2 linked regions of the Arabidopsis thaliana genome follow. The protein of the gene in region 1 interacts with the protein of each later gene in a pairwise test. Each region holds a gene or a part of one and is shown in the gene's direction. Other genes may lie near its edges.

Region 1 (6,249 bases):
TTTTGACCGGTCATCCGCTTGTGTGATTGCTTATCTGCACTGGATGACTGATACCTCTCTTCATGCTGCTTATAGTTTCGTTACTGGATTGCACGCTTGCAAACCTGACAGGTTTTTATCCATCTTATCTCTGTCTTGACCATTAACCTGCAGACCATGGATAGCTTTTCTGTTTTAATGAAAACATCAGACAAGTTATATGTATTTTTTCACAGACCTGCAATTGCTTGGGCAACATGGGATCTTATCGCTATGGTGGACGATGGCAAACATGATGGGACTCCAACACACTCTGTAACCTTTGTGTGGAATGGACATGAGGTGACTGTTGCTTCACATGCTTTTATTACTTTGCTGCAATTCTTTATGGAACTCGTGATCTGTAGGGTTGAGCAACTAGCCTCTGTGTTTTAAGTTACACCTTGGTTTACAGGGGGAGGAGGTATTGTTGGTTGGGGATTTCACAGGAAATTGGAAAGAACCGATAAAAGCAACGCACAAAGGCGGTCCACGTTTTGAAACTGAAGTTAGACTTACACAGGGAAAGTAAGTCATGCTTCTTTTACCTTTCCCGTTGATGCTTTTTTTAAGGTTCAACAGTAAAACGTCTCATAATCTTCCCTGCATGTTAATTGTGACTTTTGAGGGATTGCAAACTGCAAAGAAACTTATGAAAATGCATTTGTGTCATATAACTTGGTGATTATTGACAATGTGGCAGATACTACTACAAGTACATAATCAACGGTGATTGGAGGCATTCAGCAACTTCACCAACGGAAAGAGATGACCGAGGAAACACGAACAATATAATTGTAGTTGGTGATGTTGCTAACGTCAGGCCTACAATTCAACAACCAAGAAAGGTTACTCCTACTATGCAGTAGTCTCTTCTTCATACAATAGGAAAAGCTTGAATAAGATGTTCCACGTTATATTTGCCTGATTGGTTCAAGACATAAACCTGAAGCAACTTGTACAATGTTTTGCAGGATGCAAATATCATAAAGGTGATCGAGAGAGTGTTAACAGAGAGCGAAAGATTTAGGCTGGCGAAAGCAGCTCGGTGTATCGCATTCTCAGTTTGTCCAATAAGACTATGCCCAAAGTCGTAGAAGTTTTGTTTTGGCATAAGTTAAAATGTTACATCCATTCTTCTGTCTCTATCCATTCCTCGAGGTACTTAACCCTAATATCGTTGTGAACAACATTGCCACATTCGCGCACTCTATGACAAGAGAATGTTGACATTATGTTGTGTGTTTGCATGAAAAAATGTCGACATAGTTTCGCCGTTGCCCACTTTACATATAAGTCCCAAAACCAACCCTAATGCGTTACTGGTCTCTGTATTTCTTCTTCATTTTCTCTCTCTCTCTCGCTCTCTCCTAACATGTTGAAGAAAATAGAAACTCTGTTATCTAATGTTGCCTATATGATGATTTATGGCCATGGAAGGTCTGAGAGGAGAGACCCTTCTTCTCTATTTTTTTTATTTCCTCTTCATTTTCATGCTAAGAGTTTTCACTGAGTCTGTTGTTTCGTAGAGTAGAACAGTCCATGATCGATGTTAATCCTTTGCATCTTCTAGATTGTGTATACAATAGCAATCTCTGGTCTAGAGAGAGCCTAGAGAAGTATGGATCTTTCTATATGTATACCACAAACAAATGGCCTAACATCTAAAGTGGGTGGTGATTATTTAAGATGAGAGCCTGAGAGGGTAAGTGAAAGAGGCTGATCCTTGTTTTCATGATAAGGGACCTTATCCTCTAAACCTTTCTGAGACCTTTTATTTTTTTATAAAAAAAAGAATTGAAAGAAGAAAAGAGCACGTAAAAGTTTTGAAATCTTGAGCTAATATTCCTCATCCACAAGAAAAGAAGAAAGTTTGTTATTCACCGCAGCTATCGCTTTCGTTATCCTCGTTCCCACAACCTCACCATGACCATGAGACTCCGTTCTTTTAAACTCCCAAATCTTTCAACCAATCCCATTATTCACTTAAGTATATAGTAGCTTCCATAAGAGTCTTAGTTCTAACTATAAATACACATATCTCACTCTCTCTGATCTCCGCTTCTCTTCGCCAACAAATGTCGACCGCTCCTCTCTCCGGCTTCTTTCTCACTTCACTTTCTCCTTCTCAATCTTCTCTCCAGAAACTCTCTCTTCGTACTTCTTCCACCGTCGCTTGCCTCCCACCCGCCTCTTCTTCTTCCTCATCTTCCTCCTCCTCGTCTTCCCGTTCCGTTCCAACGCTTATCCGTAACGAGCCAGTTTTTGCCGCTCCTGCTCCTATCATTGCCCCTTATTGGGTATACATTTTTACATTCATCACTGTTTCTTAACCTACATTATTTCTTACATAACTTACATTGCTGTTTACGTATAATAGGGGTACATTACATAGATAGCAAACTAAAGTTACAGAATTTTAAAATTTGTAAAGATTTTACGAAATTATTATATAGATTCTGCAATTGCCATTTTAGTGATAGGAACAAAAATCTTCTATAGAAACTAGCTTACGAAACTTCCACAAATCTTGGAAACTGTCACATGTGTTTCACATTTCAGTTTTTTTTTCCCTTGGTATTTCCTTATATTATCCTTACTATTATCATCCGTGTTTGACTTTTGGTCTTTAGCGTGGTACTGAAAGAATTACCCAAATTAACAAGAATCAAACTAAAGTTGCTTAATTAGTGAATCACAAGCAAGGGAAGAGTTCATTTTCAATCCTTATTCTATACAGATCTTCAAACTACTTGCTTCGACATCTAGTGAAGTTAAAAACAAATCACCTCGAAATATTAAAAGCGTTGTCTCATTCCTACCCAAGATCCGACATTTTTGAAATTTTGAGAGTTAGAACGTACGTAGGATCCACGTGATAAAAGAAAAGTTGCTAGTAGTAGCTTCAACAAAAACGATTCATGAAACTGAGACGTGTGTGTATGCACATGTACCATATGAGAGCGTGTGGAGCATAGTGGTGATTAAGTCGCCATCTATATTTATTCATTCAACCTACCGATTTGGTTCCTACTAGCGAAAATAAAATCATAATATAAAAGACTATAAAATTGTACTTTATCGTATAATGAAGTTCTGAACAGGTTGATTGTAGTTTCAACATTTAAAACACGTCATGACTCGCTCTCTACTTAATTACGTTCACGACAATAAAATATACTAGTACTCATTTTCTTCTAATTTTATTTGGTCAACCAACTTGCAGAGTGAAGAGATGGGAACCGAAGCATACGACGAGGCTATTGAAGCTCTCAAGAAGCTTCTCATGTAAGTATATACATCTTTTCTATTCGCATGCATACATTAATACATGATTAGATTAATAAAAGCTAAAACATTATTATAAATTAGTAACGGGATTTTTCAATACTACTTAATTCATAATTTTTGTGATTTAACTATAAATGTATATAAACATATGGCAGCGAGAAGGAAGAGCTAAAGACGGTTGCAGCGGCAAAGGTGGAGCAGATCACAGCGGCTCTTCAGACAGGTACTTCATCCGACAAGAAAGCTTTCGACCCCGTCGAAACCATTAAGCAGGGCTTCATCAAATTCAAGAAGGAGAAATACGAGTAATATATATTTCTATTTCATTTGTTTGTTCTTAATTATGTCACCAACTAAAGTGGTCTAGATTAATTAACTGGTTCATATTTATACTTTTATTTGCAGAACCAACCCTGCTTTGTACGGTGAGCTCGCAAAGGGTCAAAGTCCTAAGGTAAATTAAAAATAAAACTAATACTATGTGTATATCATGGTTGCTTATAAATTAAAAATGAAACATTAAGAAAAAGTAATTAACAAAGGTGTGTGAATGGTGGTGCAGTACATGGTGTTTGCTTGTTCAGACTCACGTGTGTGTCCATCACACGTTCTGGACTTTCAGCCAGGAGATGCCTTCGTGGTCCGTAACATAGCCAACATGGTTCCTCCTTTCGACAAGGTTAATAATTTAACACGTCTGTCTCTCTATAGATATAAACTCTTCTATCTTAAACCTTCTGCCTCTTGAGTCTTGACTTTTGTCTTGAGAAGTCGTGACATTCACTTTCTATTTTCATTTTTGGGTTGCTAAATTGGCAGGTCAAATACGGTGGCGTTGGAGCAGCCATTGAATACGCGGTCTTACACCTTAAGGTGAAAATAAAATAAAATAATTAACACCTTAACCAAAAAAAATTATTTATCAAAGTACATGTAATTAATTTTTGAATGAATTTATTACTGTAGGTGGAGAACATTGTGGTGATAGGACACAGTGCATGTGGTGGGATCAAAGGGCTTATGTCTTTCCCCTTAGATGGAAACAACTCCACGTAAAATATCTCTATATCCATTTTATTAAAATTTAATCAATTTTAATAACAGGATTTATTAAATGAGATTAGTAAAAAATATATACGTTAATTGCAGTGACTTCATAGAGGACTGGGTCAAAATCTGTTTACCAGCCAAGTCAAAGGTTATATCAGAACTTGGAGATTCAGCCTTTGAAGATCAATGTGGCCGATGTGAAAGGGTATACAAACACATGTTAGATCGATGAGCTGATCATATATAACAATATAAATGTATTGATAAATGCAGGAGGCGGTGAATGTTTCACTAGCAAACCTATTGACATATCCATTTGTGAGAGAAGGACTTGTGAAGGGAACACTTGCTTTGAAGGGAGGCTACTATGACTTCGTCAAGGGTGCTTTTGAGCTTTGGGGACTTGAATTTGGCCTCTCCGAAACTAGCTCTGTATGAACCAATCCATCATCATCATCATCATCATGACCATCCATCATCATCATCATTATTATCATCGTATATAATATATATCTACCCCATATGTAATTTGTAATGTGCCTTTGACTGTGATGAGTTATCTCTCCCTCTCTACCAACTTTCTTCATATATATAAAACAAAAAGGAAAAGCAGATGATATAGATCTTTCGTGGTTTAATTATGAACAATTGTCTTTATTATTTGTGTATCAAATCGGTTGTATTTATGGTTTGATTTTATTTTCTATGTTGTTTGGTAGGTTAAAGATGTGGCTACCATACTACATTGGAAGCTGTAGGAAACTCTTTGAAGCCTTACCCGATTTCACATTGTCAATTCAATAACACCAAGTTGTTGTTTACATGCAGATCTTGATGAAACTGGTTTTTGATTTTACAGAATTAAAATCTTGGGGGACAGAAATTTGAATAAAAACTAAAAAAAAAAAAATCAAAAAAAAATCATTGAATCGTAAATAAGGATATCCGGGACGGGCGGATCCGGATAATGAAAAAAATGAACCCGGATATCCGGATCCGGTACCATTAACTACATGAAATAAAAAGGCTTGGAAACCCATTTAGCTAAAAGCCCATATATTTAACAAACCAAATATTTTTGATACCCAAGCCCAATTAATTATCACTTGCCGACACAAACACAAAATCATTCTTTGAAGGTCACAAAATCATTTCGATCTCTTCTCGATATCTCACAAACCCTAGAACTCTGGATCTTTTAATTTCTGGGTTCGATACCCAAATCCTTAAAACTGTCGAATTCTGGTACCCGGAACCCGGATATCCCAGTCTAACAGATCCGGATGCGGATAGTGAAACTGTAGATTTGTAGCTTCGTAGTTTTTTGGTCATATAAAATATAAACATCTGAAATTTGTCTGTGTATGTTGCTGTTTAAATTTGTCCGCCTACACATTATGGGCCTAGGCCCAAGTTTGCAATTCTTTATTGTGGCAATTAAATGGTCAGGTTCGGTTTAGGTTTTACATATCCATCATGAAAAAGCACCGTTGAACGGGCTTAAATCTTTGTCCAAGGACGACGTTTATGAATCCGGTATAAATCGATCGAAGAAGATTAAACCCACAAAACGAAAAGGCTAAAGCTTGAGGAAAAAGTAGCAAAGTGACCAAGAGTCCCATGATTTCATGAAGACATGAACTATATATATCTACTCATTGATTTGATAAATACATTATATTTGATGTTACATATTTTTATTTGAGATTTCTAATATATATTTTCAGAATGATAAATTTTATTTTTATATTTATCTTGAACTGATTTTTAAGAGAAAAATACACCGAAAGAAAGCGAAGAGTTAATTGCCTACCAAAAAAAAAGAGAAGAGTTAAAACTTTTTCCTTAAAAAATCTTAAATAAATTGAAAAATAAAATCAGAAAAAAATA
Region 2 (6,545 bases), about 22 Mb from region 1:
CCATTTCTTTTAGGTATCCATACAAGCTGCTCACACTCAACTTCGTTACCTGCACTACACATATACTTCTAAATTAGGCCCTAGTCAATCCAGAGCCACACTTTTTAAGAGAACAACAAAGAAATTAAGAGAGAGGAGCATTTTAGGGGGGCATGTCACCTGTGCCAGAACATGAATTAATGCCCCTAGCTAGGTAACGAGTCCCTGGATGCAGTCTGCTACGACGGGCCATTAGAGCAACAATCCCTTCTAGCTGGCCTGAGCTCCCAAAAGGTCGATATTCTGCAAACCCCTATAATTAACATCAAATAAGAAGATGATGTCATATCAATTTATATGCTTTTGAATCTTCACACAAAACCGAAATCGGATAGGTAGATCAACCTTCATCAATTCATTAATGGAGGACGAACCTGCAGAAGAATGACACAGTGTTCAGGTAGCCCAATATTCTTAAAAGGCACGGACAACCATCTATTCCAAACAAATTCATCATCAGGGCTTTGAAGTGGCATACGGCTTGGGAAGGGCCGAGTGATGTCTCTAGTATCACAGAAATAGTGCTTCCCGTCGATGTCAAGCTCAGTCAACTCCTGAATATTCTTGGTTTCACCTTTCCCTTGAGGCTGTGGATTGTAGAGTGGTATTTTGACCCATTGACTCTCAGCCACTGTATATACACATCCACCACCAGGCAAATCTGGAATACTTGGATTTAGCCTGGTCGCAACTAAAAGCATCCCAAAGCTCCCCAAGACAGCATAACCGAGTATTGCCCTGGCATAAACAGAGCTTCTAACACCTCCTCTTGATCCATTCGTAATATAATCTAAGGCTTCACGCTCTGACTTAAAATTATCAAGGCCAGGCTTCCCATTGTACCGCAGGATACCAGTCGTAGGATCGATATAGATAACTTGAGTATCAGCCTTAGATAACAAACTTGCAATGACATAGACTTCACCAGTGTCTAAGGTGACAACAACTACAGATGTCTTTTTTGAACCACCTACACCAAGAAGATAAGAAAATTAGCCAACCAAATGATGAAAACAGCTAGAGTGAAAAAAAAAAACACTTGAATCTTCAAAAAGAAACTAACCTGGTGGATGCAGATCCATCTGAGCTCAGGACCAAGCGGACCAGGTGCCCTCTTTGACAGCTTCAGGGACCAAGATATCAATGTGGAACCAAAAATCTAGCAAAAAGTCAACGAAATAAGGAACTTCCATCAGAGAAATAAAAAGCAATGGAATCCAAAAAATGTAGCATAGTTAGTTCTATACTTAAAACGATTCATCAACGCCAATTAAAATCAAAACAGAGAGATCATCTTCCTAACAATAATCTCCGATATAACTGAGACAAAAGATCAGAATTTTCTCACAAATTTCGATAGAAGTAATAAAAAAAACGAGTACCAGAGATCTGAGACTTTTTCCGAGAATAGCAAAATTAAAGACGCAAATCGATAATTCAAATTCCGAGAAAGCAGAAAGATAAATTCTTCAGAGAACCCGAATCGAATCATAAGTCATAAGAGAAGGAACTCACCTTGAAGTTGTAGAGATGATCAGATGCAAAATTTACCAAGTCGTTCGTAGACGAACAAACGAAGAGGAAGAAGAGTAAATCTGCTGTTACCCAACACACAGTACAAAAACAATCATAGTACGACACGTGTGAATCTGTTTAATTGATTTATGAAAAAAGAGAAGAAATTATTGATAACTTGAAAATTGGTCCAATTAGTTTTAAAATGTAACGAATAGACCCAATCAAAAGAAAAGACAAAATAAAGTATAGAGATGATGAATTAACGGCTTTGGACAAGCCACACGATTCGCTTTGCTTATCTTGCTCCACCCAATCCAAATTGAGACACAATCTCTATCGAATCCACGCGCCTCTATCTTTTTTCAATCGAGTCGCCATTAACATATTTCATCAAGCTCAGTCCACTCTTCTCATGAAACTTCATCATCATCGACCTTGACCCTGATAGGTTATTAAAGTTACTGCATTTGATCTCTCTTTGAACTGCTTCTGTTGTTCAAGGTTCCAAACATGCTCAGACTCAGTAATTGAATAATGGGTATTCTTGTTGCAGGTTTCAGACGACACCCATTATTGTAAATCTGCTGCTGGAGTCTTTTTTGTCTGAATCTTCTTCTTGTTGAGACACTGTTTCTTCTTGGTCTGTGATTTTTGTTTTGTTCTCATTAGGACGTTCTTTATTCCGGTTCAGATTTACTGGATCGTCATTTTCTCTTTGAAATTGTATTTTTTTGTTCCTTTTCTGGTATGTTGTGAAAGCTATGAGATTGCTGTAAGAATCCAAGACTGACCAACATGTTTCCCCTGTGCTCGGCCACAAGCTGCCGTTACCATTCTCAGGTTAGATTTTCTTTATAGAAGTGAAAGTAAATAAGCTAACTGGTAGCAAATTTATTGAAGTCATCCAATTTGAGCTATGGGTGTTACGCTTTGTTAGTGCTTTGGGTTTTTGGATTCATTTTCATAGATAAGTAAGTACCTCATAACGGGTTTGTTTCTGCAGATTTTATTTCCTGGCAATTGGCGAGGCTGTTCTTCCTTCAGGAGAGAGTTGATTCACAGATACAGTTCAGGTGACAATGCCTTCTTTGGTATCTCTAATGGAACACGCCTGCAGAAGAGTTTCGTACCTCAAGCCACTGGGAGTTTCTTGACCGGTACTATCGAAAAAACAGAACAACCAGTATCAACATTCGGAAGTTTGTGCCAGAATGAGTTGGACAGAATAAACTACATGGTTTATAACATGAGTGAAGCTTTTGTAGCGAGTGATGAGGGACTGACATATGTAGAAAATGGAGAAGATGTGTTCCCTGTTGAAGCTGTTGCAGCAGATGTTTCTCCTGTTGAAGCTGTTGTACCAGATGTTTCCCCCATTGAATGCCTTTCTGCTGAGACTTTAACCGATAAGACCAGTAGCCTTATAGACTCTGTTGAATCGGGAACCAATGCGACTGTTAAAATATCTCCGGATAGTTCAGTCTCACTTCCTGATGCGAAAGCTAGCTTTGATGACTTTTCTTCTGGGCTCAAGCAGTCCTTCAGCTCTTCACTTCCTGATGCGAAAGCTAGCGTTGATGACTTTTCTTCTGGGGTCAAGGAGTCCTTCAGCTCTTCACTTAACCAAGGAGAAAATGCTGTAAAGAACACTTTGGAGTCCTTCTCCTCGTCTGTGACATCCATTACAAAGAATGCTTCTGAAGTTGTAGATAGTGCAGTTAACAGAGCGTTTTCTACGCTAGACCAAACGGGAGATGTAGCTGGAGACAAGTTTTCGAGTTTTTCTACTGGCTTGAAGGAAGCTTCAAACAGAGCAGCTGTTATTGCCATTGATCTGCTGAGGCAATCAGTTAGTCTTGGAGAGAGATCTGTAACAAATGGAGTTTCTTTTGTTGTGTACTCTTATGGATCAGCAAAAGAATTACTTCCTCCAGATGTAAAGAGTGCCCTTAACTCGTCAGAAGATGTTGCTCTAAAAGTATTGAGTCCCGTGGGAGCTGTATTGCAGCAGGTGCTTTGTCTTATATACTGAAGGTTCATTCATATTTTCGTAGAAGAAAATTAATTCTTTATGGACTACAGTTGCTAACAGTATCATGATGAACAGGTATCTGTTGCCATTGGAGGTTTGGAGAGAAATATCGGTTTGGATCCAGATGACCCAATCCTTCACCTTTTTCTCTTCGTAGGCACCACAGGAACCTTTTGGTACACGGCTTTTCTTACCCTAGAAGGATATTAAACTTGCTTTTCTTGAGAGGACAATGTAGTATAGAAGAATTTATATTTTCCACCAGATATTTGCAGGGTTCTATATCGGGTTTGGACATATGGTGGATATGCTGGAGATTTGTCTCCCAAGTCAACTCTGGACCTTTTAAAATCAAGAGACAAGTCAGTGCTCATAGATGTCAGGCCTGAAGTAAGACGCTCTTAAGTTTCTAACAAGTTCCCATTTCATGATATATAACTTTTCAAAACCCACCACAATTTGATTATTTCTTTCACATAATGTTCATCAAGGAGTTTGGGTTGAAATAAAAATGCTCATTTTGGCTACTGTCTTTTTGAAGGCCTTGAGAGAGAAAGATGGAATACCTGATCTGCGGAGATCAGCTCGATTTCGATATTCTAGCGTGACACTGCCTGAGGTTGGTTTTAGCATCCTCATTGTTGTTGACCACAGCGAATATAGAAACTCTACACATGTAATCTATGAACACAACGAGGTTTCAGCAATCAGTGCAACAGAAGTAGGATATCAGACTTTTCTTTATTCACATTTTTTATGGGTTCTTGTTCTTGATTCATGTTTAAGGTTGACGGTGATGTCAAACGGCTACTGAAAGGTGGAAGTGAAGTAGATGATATCTTGACAGCAGTAATCATCAAGAACTTGAAAATAGTTCAGGTGTGCTACCTTCATGCTTCTTTTGTAACTTACTATGGTTTTGTGGCTCGAGCTGTTTCAGTTTCTAAGTATGCTGACATCTCATAATTTTGCTTACTCTCCCACTAATAGGACAGGTCCAAGGTTGTTGTTATGGATGCTGATGGAACTCGTTCAAAGGGTATTGCAAGAGCCCTGAGAAAAGTTGGGATTAAGGCAAGTCATTCAGGCATAATTCACTTTGAACACAATAAGTTACCTTTAAACATTTTCGAATAAGCTCTTCTTTGGTTGCCTATGATGTGACAGAGGCCATACTTGATGCAAGGTGGGTATAGATCATGGGTACAGGAAGGTCTTCGTGTGAAAGAGCCAAAACCTGAGACAACACTTACCATCCTCAACGAGGTAATACCATATGAATACAAATATGTTTGGACTGTTTCTTCAGCTAGATGAAATTGAAACTGCTCTCAAATCTTTTCATCAGTAAGTTAAACATATCTTAAATGCTTTTCAGGAAGCTGAGGCGATTTTTGAGGACATAAATCCCTCTCCATTGCAACTATTTGGAGTTGGTGTGGTATGCTTCTAGTTCTATTTTTCTATTTCCGTTTAATAATAATCCCATCCTGACTAATATAAGAAGATATATGCAGGGTTTTTTCGCAGCATTGTATGCTTTGTCTGGTGCGTTTAATTCTTTCTCATTTCCCCTTTAGAATATCTCATATTCTCCACAACACACAAGCTCCTCACATCCACGTTTTGCACTAACATGATTGCTCTATCTCTCGCAGAGTGGGAGAAAACACTGCAACTCATAGCTGTCATCGGCCTTAGTCTGGTATATACTAGCCTTTCCAGTTTCTAAGTTTTGTCAAATTATAGTTGCTTTGTTTTGTTTTTCAAGTTTCAAACATTATGCAGACTATATACCTACGACTTTCTTCATATGATGACTCCGAAGACTTCAAACAAGACGTCAGGTATAAAAGCGCCATCATTAGACCCTTTTTCCATAGCAAAAACTCAGCGAAACCTCTGTTCTGTCTTAACAAAGATTGTTTCATCTTCTTCTTCAAGGCTGTTGCTTGCACCTGTGAAACTCGGAGCTCAGGCTTTCTCGTGGGCTGCAGGAAAACTAGAAACAAATGGTGTTGGCCTCCCAACTTCGCCTTCTTCTTCAGATGTTCGAAGCCGGGTTTTGCAAGCTGCTGCTAAGCATGAATCGAAACCCTCTGATGAAACTTCTGAAAGTCTCCAAGATGCATCATCGTCACCAGAAGAAGCTTTGAACAACGTTGATGTCTCCGAAGCGTAAAGACTCTGAAAATTGTTTTCTATTTTTCTTATAATTGCCAAGAATTACTTTTGTTCGTCTCTTGGAACCGTTAACATCGGCAACAGAAAAAGTGTAATAAAAAAAAACTGTTTTCTTTTCGTTCGGATGCTGAGATTTGTTTTGCAAATTTAGAACTAGCTAAATTGGGTCAAAAGTTATAGGTTACACGTAAAATTATTACAGCAATTTCTCCCCTAATAACTTTGGGCTTTAGGCCCAATAACAGAAGGCCTTAAAGTGGCATACTTAGGGTTTAGTGAAAAAGCAATCGTCATCCTTGACTCAGGGGTCAGGTCAAATCCAGGAGAAGAAGAGGTAATCATTCTACACAGATAGAAACATTTATTTTTTGTTTAATCAAAAGCTAACATTTTGTTGTGACAGTTCTCGTGTTTTCTTAATATAGATGGCAAGACTGATAATCGTGCCAGAATCCGTCTTATTAATCAAGACAAGAACAAATACAACACTCCAAAGTATCGGTTTGTTGTTAGATTTGTATCCTTTTAATTAGTTCATCACATTCCCAGTTGTTAGTGGTGTCTGTTTACATTCTTCCTATCGAGTTTTGTTTGGCCTTGAATGTGAGGAAAGCTAACTTGATTGACCGTATTCGTACACTTCACTCAGCTGCTGAAGCCATATCAATGAAGTTGACGACGAGTGAAAACGTTTCTTCTCTTTAAAAAACTGTATTTCCATCTAGTTTTGATCTTACTTTCGTGGCTTTGAATTTTTACTTTTCATATAGCA

What was found.
Region 2: the proteins of CA1 (region 1) and AT3G59780 interact in a protein complementation assay, tested with the Arabidopsis thaliana proteins (one large-scale study listed by BioGRID).

Annotation. Positions count from the first base shown.
Region 1 is NC_003074.8:193,721-199,969, reverse strand, and holds CA1 (carbonic anhydrase 1), read left to right. Parts: upstream 1-1,809; 5' UTR 1,810-2,096; coding exon 2,097-2,318; intron 2,319-2,405; exon of another isoform or gene 2,406-3,122; intron 3,123-3,244; coding exon 3,245-3,306; intron 3,307-3,464; coding exon 3,465-3,614; intron 3,615-3,714; coding exon 3,715-3,763; intron 3,764-3,871; coding exon 3,872-3,988; intron 3,989-4,128; coding exon 4,129-4,182; intron 4,183-4,275; coding exon 4,276-4,361; intron 4,362-4,458; coding exon 4,459-4,564; intron 4,565-4,632; coding exon 4,633-4,791; coding exon of another isoform or gene 4,792-4,797; exon of another isoform or gene 4,798-5,078; coding exon 5,079-5,117; 3' UTR 5,118-5,544; downstream 5,545-6,249. Other genes in the region: LSF1 (uncharacterized protein), read left to right, coding at 1-111, 216-321, 434-546, 722-866, 993-1,115. UniProt on the Arabidopsis thaliana protein: Reversible hydration of carbon dioxide. Required for photosynthesis in cotyledons. Binds salicylic acid.
Region 2 is NC_003074.8:22,084,554-22,091,098, forward strand, and holds AT3G59780 (Rhodanese/Cell cycle control phosphatase superfamily protein), read left to right. Parts: upstream 1-1,779; 5' UTR 1,780-2,005; intron 2,006-2,110; 5' UTR 2,111-2,352; coding exon 2,353-2,397; intron 2,398-2,560; coding exon 2,561-3,568; intron 3,569-3,664; coding exon 3,665-3,765; intron 3,766-3,864; coding exon 3,865-3,979; intron 3,980-4,130; coding exon 4,131-4,208; intron 4,209-4,375; coding exon 4,376-4,468; intron 4,469-4,579; coding exon 4,580-4,663; intron 4,664-4,756; coding exon 4,757-4,855; intron 4,856-4,967; coding exon 4,968-5,030; intron 5,031-5,106; coding exon 5,107-5,137; intron 5,138-5,247; coding exon 5,248-5,294; intron 5,295-5,377; coding exon 5,378-5,436; intron 5,437-5,533; coding exon 5,534-5,771; 3' UTR 5,772-5,976; downstream 5,977-6,545. Other genes in the region: SAC9 (sacI homology domain-containing protein / WW domain-containing protein), read right to left, coding at 1-49, 160-292, 414-1,009, 1,103-1,121.